Linked DNA regions of Arabidopsis thaliana. The protein of the gene in region 1 purifies or fractionates together with the protein of each later gene. This does not show direct contact. Each region holds a gene or a part of one and is shown on either strand. Other genes may lie near its edges.

Region 1 (5,504 bases):
TCTTGTTGTAGTATAAATTAGTACCAGTTACTTACTGTATTTCTAAATGAAACAGATTTATGTAGCAGCAGCTAGAGGTCTTATGCCTTCTCAAAACTCTTTTAAGGTGAAATTCCCTCTTCCTGACCCAAAAGACCCGTTTTCCTTAAAACCTGGTTCTATTCCTTGTACAATGCAAGAGAAGAAAGAACTTGATTCAAAGCAAGTTACCAGCCTCACAGCTGCAATCAAGCAAGTTACCAGCCTCACAGCTGCAATCGCCGGTGCAAAAGCAGCGGCGACACAATTTTCTAAGAAGGGACAAAGTCTCCAAACAAATAATATATTTGATTACACAACAAGAAGCAAGAGCAAAGTTATTGAAGATGAAGCAGCAGAATCCCTAGATAACCCGGTTCTTGGTTCTGGTGGAACGTCTGACCGTACTTATAGAACAAGAAGCAAGAACAGAGGCACACAGATGGGTGAAGAAGTATGTAGTGAAAGCAGCAACAGCAGCAGCAAAGTTGAATCTAGTCAAAGAAGTGCAGTCACAAAGAGTGAGGACAGGAATACAAGAATTGGTGAAAGAAGGTTTGATCCTGGATCTGCCCGGGTACGTTTATTATCTTACATTAAGCGATAATTACAACAATAATTGTTGACTTTGTTGTTGTCTGATTTTATTTCACATGTGGAATTATTTCAGATCATGGCCGCTGCAATTAGGAACTTGAAGCCACCTTCTTGATCTAATGCGTCAAGGTTGTACCATATTTTGCATTCTTTCTAAAACATGTTCATTTCAAAGTTTGAGAAGTTCGTTTTAGAGTTAGTTTATAGGTTTATTGTATACACATTCAATTTAACTTATATGAGAGAATAATCATGTGGACTAATAAATACACAGAGCAATGAGTTTTGAGTAGACTGTTTAGTCGAATTTTACTAAATTACTATATTTTGGTCAGATTTAGAAGAATGTTTATATTTTTGGGGGGTTTGTCCCACATCGGTAGTTTCAAAATATCAGTTGTGTATATATTTAGTCGAAAACGAAAACAAGTAACAATAGTCATTGGACAAAGTGAATGGGTCACATGGGCTTGTCTAAGTTCCGACCCAGGAAAGTCCCCGGGCCACTTTTCGCAGAGATGCGGCCTCGGTAACGAGAGAATCATGCGGTGGAGAGATTCTATAAGCTGAGACGCGTGTGTGGAGCTTCTGTTGTCTCTCCGTCGATGACATCATGGCCGTTCGATTCACGACAGTTATTCACTTGGTCCTCATCGGACTAACTGAACGGGGCTTATGTTCCAATGACAACAATTTTTTTCTTTTTGAGTAATCCCGGTTTACTCAACTTACTCAACCGTACCGGTGGAAGATTCCTTACAGTAATACTAAAGCTTTTGGCTTAGCTCATTTTGGTGATGATAACAGTAATATCATAAGTACATAATAAATAATTGAAACTTTTGTAAGTATCCTCATTTTTTCAGAAAGTAAATAATATCAAATGTATTGAGAAAACAATAAATGATCATTTTTTTATTTTAATTAGACTCAAAATTAAATAACTGGAAATTAAAAAACCAAATAAACTGAAAATTATTATCTAAAATACAGTAACTAAAAATTTGTCTTGTCGATAAGTCGGATAAAATTTATTCATATAAATATTTAGTCATATACAAGTAAAATAATACTACAAATAATACACAATCAGTCGATGTTATATACAATAAAATTATAGATTTATAAAGGAAAAAATTATCCGGCGATATATCTGATGTCAATCTCTAGTGGGTTAGCATTTTTATTGAAAAATTGTATTGCTTAGTTTTTTTATTGTTATATTGTTAGTGAATTAAAATGGTACTTTGGTATTTTCATATATAGACTTTTTGAAAATAAAATCTTAGATTTTTTCTAACAAGAGTTACCAAAAATATTTTGGAATTAAATGAGCCGGCGACATAGAAGAATAGAGAGGGTTAAATTGAAAATTCATAAAGTAGGAAAAAATTAGGGTTAGACTCGATCATTCATAGCTGCGACTATTCTCTGCTCTTTCTACATTTTCTCATTTTCTCTTGGGCTACTTTTCGACTACTAACAAATCCAACGATGAGGGGATTGGTGAACAAGCTCGTGTCCAGATCTCTCTCCATCTCCGGGAAATGGCAGAACCAACAGCTTCGTCGTCTCAACATCCACGAGTATCAGGTTCTTCTTCTCTTCATTTCCATTTGATAGTTGCCTAGATTCGCTTTTGTCAAGTCAGAATTCGAGTACGATCTGTGTCTTTGTCTGTTGTTTCTGTGTTGATCCACTGATTGATTTGTGGTTGATAGAATTCTCTGGGTTTAGGATAATGTAAAGTTTGTATTGTGATTCTGATACAACCAGGGAGCTGAATTGATGGGGAAATATGGAGTTAATGTGCCGAAAGGAGTAGCTGCTTCTTCGTTGGAAGAAGTTAAAAAGGCTATTCAAGATGTTTTCCCTAATGAAAGCGAGGTAAATTCAGTGAGGGATTCGATTCTAATCTCTATTATTAGTTGTTGTCTAATTGAAAGAGTGTCATTTTCGTGTGATACAGTTGGTTGTTAAGAGCCAGATTTTGGCTGGTGGAAGAGGTCTTGGAACATTCAAGAGTGGTCTTAAGGGTGGTGTTCACATTGTTAAACGTGATGAGGCTGAAGAGATTGCTGGTATTGTACAGGATTTCTTGTTTGTGGCTTTCTGGAGTCTGTTTTTTGTTGTTGTTGTACAAGTTATTGATCTATTTCAAATCTTTATTACTTGTAGGAAAGATGCTAGGACAAGTACTTGTCACCAAGCAAACTGGTCCTCAAGGCAAAGTAGTTAGCAAGGTTTGTTATCTGTTATTCATGATTGGTGTTTTTTCTTCTATTATTGTCACTGCTCTTGCACCTTTGTTTATTCATTGTGTCTTCATTTTGAGCAGGTTTACTTGTGTGAGAAATTGTCACTCGTCAATGAGATGTACTTTTCCATTATTCTGGACCGTAAATCTGCTGGACCGGTATGCTACTACGCAAATGATGAGCTGCTGCTATTCATTTCCCTACTTCTAGGCATGCTGTTTTCATACCCTGCTGTAATATCTAAAACGCTTTCCTTTCCTATATCAGTTGATCATTGCCTGTAAAAAGGGTGGTACCAGTATTGAAGATCTTGCTGAGAAGTTCCCTGACATGATCATCAAGGTTGTTACTGTTTGATTCGTATTTGGTGGTCTGATCTCCAGTAAATATCATTCTGAGATTCTTTCTCATGCGGGTTTTTGACACCTCAAGTCATGGTTTTGCGTAGGTACCAATTGATGTATTTGCAGGAATCACTGATGAAGATGCTGCTAAGGTTGTGGATGGTCTGGCTCCCAAAGCTGCTGACAGAAAAGATTCGATTGAACAAGTGAAGAAGCTATACGAACTCTTCCGCAAGACTGACTGCACAATGTTGGAAGTGAGTTCTCTCTCACTGTCTTTTTTCTACACACTTCTTCAGTTATAAATATCTTTTGTTGAACCTCCAAATTTCTCTTGTAGATCAATCCCCTTGCGGAGACATCAACTAATCAATTGGTAGCTGCTGATGCCAAATTGAACTTCGATGATAATGCTGCGTTCCGACAAAAAGAGGTTTTCGCCATGCGTGATCCAACACAGGAGGATCCACGAGAGGTCTCTGTCTATCTCTTGTATCATCAAGAAAGCCATTGTTATGTTAATTCGATAGGATGTTAAAAGGAATAGTGTGTTGTGTCTCATAGGTGGCTGCTGCTAAAGTTGACCTGAACTACATCGGTTTAGATGGAGAGATTGGTTGCATGGTGAATGGTGCTGGATTGGCCATGGCAACCATGGACATCATTAAATTACACGGTGGAACACCCGCCAATTTCCTTGACGTTGGTGGAAATGCTTCTGAGCACCAGGTAAAAGGAACCTTCTTTCTTTCTTCACTTTTGGGAATCATTGGAATGAAAACCAATTTTAATAGAGGTTTGTGTCAAAAAATAAGGTGGTGGAAGCGTTTAAGATACTGACATCGGACGATAAAGTGAAAGCAATCTTGGTGAACATATTTGGTGGGATAATGAAATGTGATGTGATTGCTAGTGGAATCGTGAACGCTGCAAAAGAGGTGAGTGAGAAACAACCTTGTTACCATAATATTTCATATATTCATGATTGAAAATAAATCCGAGTGTTTGTGTGGAATGGCGAGGACAGGTCGCATTGAAAGTGCCAGTGGTGGTTCGTCTAGAAGGAACGAATGTTGAGCAGGGAAAGAGAATCCTCAAGGAAAGTGGAATGAAACTCATAACAGCTGATGATTTGGATGATGCAGCTGAGAAAGCGGTTAAAGCTTTAGCTCACTAATCTCTCTATATATACCAAAAGCCGGTTTGTTAATTGTTTTGTGGTTGACGCCCAATTTACACTTTCTTGCGGATATCATTTCCTCAAACAGATCAATAATGAACTGGTCTCCTTTTTTTGTGTGATCCATCCAAAGAGATTCAAATCAGAATTCTCAATATCTTTTTGTATTTAACCAACTCATATGGTTGATACTAGGGTTTCAAGTTTATCTCATACGTACTGTTCCTATCATGAATAAAAATCGTTTTTGTGGGAAGCCACACTATAGCTGTCACTGAAACAACAAAATTAATCCCTCTCTCTACAAAAGGCTTTCACAAAACAGAGCTGTCCTCTGTTTCCAATTTAACGGTCAAAACGATAAACTTATTTTTTGATAGAATGTTAATTATATTACCAAAAGGAAAGAAGATTATTTACAAAAACTTTTGACCAGGATTGCAGCTCCATTGTTGTAGTGATGCAGCTCTATTGCTGAGGGCTATGATGAAGAGGAAAATCACACTAACACTACTCAGCTCTTGTCCAAGAAGTTTTTATTCATATATAGGGTTTCTAGTAAAGTGAAAGATGCTGTTGATTTGTTCTGTAAGAATGCTCTTTTATATTTATGATCGACGTCAATGATGATCTATGTTCAAGTGATTTGGATGATAGCACCGAAAAATATTTGTCTAAATTCTCCTTGCATAGTTAATAATAGTACAAGAATGAACAAGAAAATCTAACAATTGGTGTGTTGTGTTCAATGAAAATTAGCCATTTGGAGCTAGCAGCAAAGTCTCTATATATGTCGTCTCTCCTTTCAAAAATCATCTCTATTGTCGAATTGAGGCATAGATCTCACAGAACCAGTCTCAGACATATATTCCGACATGTTATCGACATCAGATCTTCTTGTCGATCTTGATGACCCTCCATTAACCGCGGTTTCTTTCGTCGACTTCTTCTTCCTCCTAGATTTCTTTGGAATTTCCGGTAATCCACTAGGCCAAGAAGACAACTCGTCTTGTTCTTCAGTGGCTTCCTTTGGTCTCCTCGACGATGACGATGTCCCTTTGTTAGAAGAGCGACGTTTAGTTTTGTCTGATGATTTGTCTTTTGTCG
Region 2 (4,309 bases), on another chromosome or scaffold:
CTGGACCCAGCAAGAAAACTAACGACGTCAAGACTTAGCACTATTCTTTCTAGAGTTTTCTGTCCTAATTCTTACTTCTTTCTTTTTTTGTTCTTTAGAGATTCTTTGATTTTTCGTTTTCAAATAGAGATTATTGTAAATGTTACATGTATTACAGAAATTTACAGTAGAAGTTTAGGAAAAATGAGGATTTTATTTGGTAATGTAAGTCGAAATGATCAAGACTTAGACTATCATCTTGTATCGTTTCATCAATATTTCTTTGATAAACGTTAATCAGCTTTTTAATTTCTATGATTATGTATCAATTTTATTTAGACTAAGAAAGTCTTTTAAGTTAAACGCATAAAAGAGTCAAGGATACCATTTGAATTGACATTGTATTAGTGTTTGGGTAACTTCCAAGAAAGAGATAAAATTAAAAGATAAGAATGGGGCCAAGGCGTAAAGAATCAAAAGTTAGGCGAAATATGTATAAATTGAATTGAACGCGTTTTTTATGAGACTTGACTATGATCCATTTTCCACAACGCAGACACAAAGATAATGCATTTTTATTACACAAGTGTGTATGCATTATTTCACAAATTTCATTAATCCCAAATTTCTTCGTTATAATATTCCTGTCATATATGTGTCGAGTAGTGAAAAACGAGAAAATTAGTTATTGTTTTATTGAAATGAGGTAATTATTATACCAATAAGATTCCGTTTTGTTTTCTTCGTAGAATAAACAATAGCGCTTTCTGACAATAATAGCAAATTTTTATTCTTGAAAACTTTCATTGTAAAACAACGTACCACACAGCTGAGTTGAGCAAATCTTAAAAACCAAAGAGACACTGTAAGTTTGTTTCAGACAACCTTAAAACAAAAGCTGAGCTGGAACTGGTTCATCTCCTTATGTCATCGTGTAAACGATTCAGTTGTTTTCCTTCTCATAAACCTCGCTTGCATATTTCCAGTTGATCACTTTCCATACATTCTTCAGATACTCAGGCCTCACATTTTTGTACTGAATGAGAGAATACAGATTGATTAGAGAGCTTAATCTTTTAAGCTAACTCATGAGACTTAAGGTATCAAAAGTGTTGTTACCTGCAAGTAGTAGGCGTGCTCCCAAACATCTATACCCACCAGAGGTACCAAGCTTCCTCCTTTTGTCACTAATGGATCCTGCACCAACCGAAACAAACTCTTTTTCTTTAAAACCCATTATTCTCACAGATGTTCATGAGTACCAAGAAATCTTTTGAACATATTCAATAGCGCATTCCTGATCATGGATAAGTTACCTGATTGGCAGTTGTGTCAACAACTAGCTTCTTCAGTTCTTTGTCTAGTCCGAGCCACTGAATTAATCAACAGAAACAAGCGAATCAAGGACCATGGTTATTATACGTAAAGCACCAGAGTCGACAATGTGAGCAGATGAAATAAAAAGGTGAAACTAGACTACAGACCACCCATCCTGAGCCTTGCACTGCAGCACCCTCAGCACTCATCTTTTTCACCAGACCTTCAAGGGAGCCAAAGTGAGCGTCAATGGCACTACCAAGAGATCCTTTTGGTGGCTCTCCACCACCTTCCTGTTATACATTAAAACAAACCATCAATTACAGAACAACAAAATCGAAGAAATACACAGAAACTCAAAACACAAGCTCACACTGGAAGGAGCAAGGTTCTTCCAGAAAATCGAATGGTTGACATGACCTGCACGTTAGAAATAAAGTCGATCAATTCCCATTCTCTAGCACACAAAAAACTCAATTTATTTCCAATAGTTTCTCTGCCAATTTCTCTTCTATCAATCCAACCGGTCCGGAGCTCAAGAAGCAACAATCCTAATACCAAACTATAGTCATCAAAATTAATCAACAGCTTCAATGTTCCTAACAAAAGTTCTATACTAAATCAACTGGTTATGATCTCAAGACCCAGCAAACAAAAGTAGCTATCTAAGAAAGCTTGCATTACCGATAAAAGTTTCATTGATTCTTACAGAAGTTTCATCCCAATTCATCAAAATTACTCATCAGCTTCACTGTTCAAACCAAATTTCTCTCCTAAATCAACTACTTCATTTGCTAATATCATCCAAACACGATCTAAACACAAACCAATCGATCAAACACATAGAAATCGAGATCGTAAAAAAAAAAAAAAAAGAGAGTCAGACACACAAACACACCTCCGCCGTTGAATTTGATGGCGCTCTGCAACTTAACAACAGTGGAAGCATCTCCCTTGTTCACAGCTTGATCAAGCTGCTCAAGAGCATTATTGTAATTAGTAACATAAGCCTGGTGATGCTTCTGGTGATGAATCTGCATGATCTCTCCACTAATGGCCGGTTCCAATGCGCCATAATCGTAAGGAAGATCAGGAAGCGTAAAAGTCTGAATCCCTCTGATCCTCAATAGCCTCGATGATGTCTCCTTCAAGCCGGCTAGGGTTTTTCTACTCGCTACACAACGAATCGCCATTGTTGGAATGAAGATTTGTTTCTCCTTCTAGTGGTCGCCAAAAATGAACATGTGTATAAGTGGAGGGTTATGATAATATCACTGCCTGTCATGTATAGAGAAAAGTGACTGTTTTGACACGTAGACATGTGATTTTTATTTATGGGCCGTAATATTGGATTAGTGAGCCCAAGGCCTTAATATAATAAAGCGTAATTTTTAATATTTTGTGACGGCTAAATGTTACTTTTTTGTTTGTTCACAGGAAAAAAATAAAGAAATGAAGAAAGTTGACTAGAAACGGAGAATTTCCAAATGTTGAATTTGTTGGATGCATGTGAAAGCCAATTCTATTTGGTTCCTCCTTGATAATCCACCCAATCGCTGTCATTCTCCCATCAATCTAGCTGCTTTCACAAACCATTGTACTGAGATCGTATCTTTAAGGTAAATTTCAAATCGGAGTCGGCGAGATCGAAATAGGAACCTGGAAGTCGGAGAATTTGTGTAAATTCGGTTTTTTTTTTTTAATTCTCCGATGGATAGTTTAAGTGATATCGATGGTGATTTCGATGGAAGAAATGAAGGAGGATCGTCATCGGATTATCGATTGTTGGGTCGGCAGATTACGGTTCATCAGTTCATGGGTGGTGGCAAAGGCGAGTTCTTTTTTCCAGAATTTGTGTTTTTTCATCATTTTGGTAGTTTGTGATGAGAATTTTCTCGGATTTACAGAACAGAAAATTCAAATTGGGGATGATAGTTGGAATAGTTAGGGTTTCTGATTTTGGTTGGTTGTGAAAATCGTCATGTGTGTAAGTACATTTAGCATTTTGGGTATAGTAGAAAATGGAAAACTTGGCAGGTGAAAGTTAGGTTTAGGTTTGATTTTGAATGAGAAATTGATTGATTCAAATCTCTGGATACGCATGATGAGTTCATAGGTCCAGCAAAAAGCTACTGTTTGTGATTTTTGTATGGCTTTGTTCTTTGATGTAGCTGCTGACTTGCTCTTATGGAGGAGGCGACATCTTTCTTTGGGGGTTATCATTATATCAACTGTAGCCTGGCTTATATTCGAGTTTTCCGGGTTGCCTTTCTTATCTGTTTCTTCGGATGTCTTACTCATCGTGATCATGATATCATTCGTTCATGCCCGGGTTTCTGCTTTTAGGAATAGGTGCGCTCTACTTTTCACTAGTCTTCTTTTTCTTAATTCTTTGCTGTTATGTGACTGATTAGTGATGATTTCTACCTGTTATCTCTTTATAAGCAGACAGTTGCATTCGTTGCCAGAGCTTGTTCTATCAGAGGAAATGGTGAATAGTGCTGCAGCTTCTTTCCGTATAAAACTCAATCACTTGCTTGTAATGGCTCATGATGTCACAGTTGGCAACGATTTTCGACTCTTCTTCAAGGTTATGAAGCTAACCCATTCAGAAACTCACGATGATGTTGAGTGAAATGACATGGGAACCGTTAAGCATCTGAACTGTTGGTCTGACGATTTTTCTTTAGCAGGTGGTGATTTGTCTGTGGCTTCTCTCTGCCATTGGTAGCTATATATCTCTCTGCACTCTTCTTTACATCGGTTAGTAACTTGATCCTTAAATGCAAATGAAAGGAAAAAGCTTCTATGTTTTTTGATCCTTCAGTTTCATCCCCCACGTTGGCTTGTTGATCTCGTTTTAGTTCCTGCGACATTGTTGTTTTAAACTCAGTGAACCAAATTCTTATATGAAGTTTATACTTTTTATGGTGTGAACAGGGACCATCCTATCTGTAACAATACCGGCTTTGTACAGTAAATATCAAAGCAAAGTAGACAAGTGTTGCGGGAC

The links.
Region 2: the proteins of AT2G20420 (region 1) and MSD1 fractionate together in Arabidopsis thaliana (co-fractionation; one large-scale study listed by BioGRID). This does not show direct contact.

What each region holds. Positions count from the first base shown.
Region 1 is NC_003071.7:8,803,465-8,808,968, forward strand, and holds AT2G20420 (ATP citrate lyase (ACL) family protein), read left to right. Parts: upstream 1-1,877; 5' UTR 1,878-2,109; coding exon 2,110-2,208; intron 2,209-2,391; coding exon 2,392-2,502; intron 2,503-2,584; coding exon 2,585-2,696; intron 2,697-2,793; coding exon 2,794-2,858; intron 2,859-2,953; coding exon 2,954-3,031; intron 3,032-3,140; coding exon 3,141-3,215; intron 3,216-3,321; coding exon 3,322-3,474; intron 3,475-3,557; coding exon 3,558-3,692; intron 3,693-3,781; coding exon 3,782-3,946; intron 3,947-4,032; coding exon 4,033-4,155; intron 4,156-4,244; coding exon 4,245-4,394; 3' UTR 4,395-4,707; downstream 4,708-5,504. Other genes in the region: AT2G20410 (RNA-binding ASCH domain protein), read left to right, coding at 56-595, 689-730; RIC6 (ROP-interactive CRIB motif-containing protein 6), read right to left, coding at 5,203-5,504. UniProt on the Arabidopsis thaliana protein: Succinyl-CoA synthetase functions in the citric acid cycle (TCA), coupling the hydrolysis of succinyl-CoA to the synthesis of ATP and thus represents the only step of substrate-level phosphorylation in the TCA.
Region 2 is NC_003074.8:3,416,195-3,420,503, reverse strand, and holds MSD1 (manganese superoxide dismutase 1), read right to left. Parts: upstream 2,565-4,309; 5' UTR 2,490-2,564; coding exon 2,195-2,489; intron 1,717-2,194; coding exon 1,670-1,716; intron 1,590-1,669; coding exon 1,464-1,589; intron 1,353-1,463; coding exon 1,296-1,352; intron 1,177-1,295; coding exon 1,099-1,176; intron 1,016-1,098; coding exon 923-1,015; 3' UTR 612-922; downstream 1-611. Other genes in the region: AT3G10930 (uncharacterized protein), read left to right, coding at 1-276; AT3G10915 (Reticulon family protein), read left to right, coding at 2,800-2,915, 3,048-3,127, 3,468-3,648, 3,745-3,886, 3,990-4,059, 4,237-4,309. UniProt on the Arabidopsis thaliana protein: Destroys superoxide anion radicals which are normally produced within the cells and which are toxic to biological systems.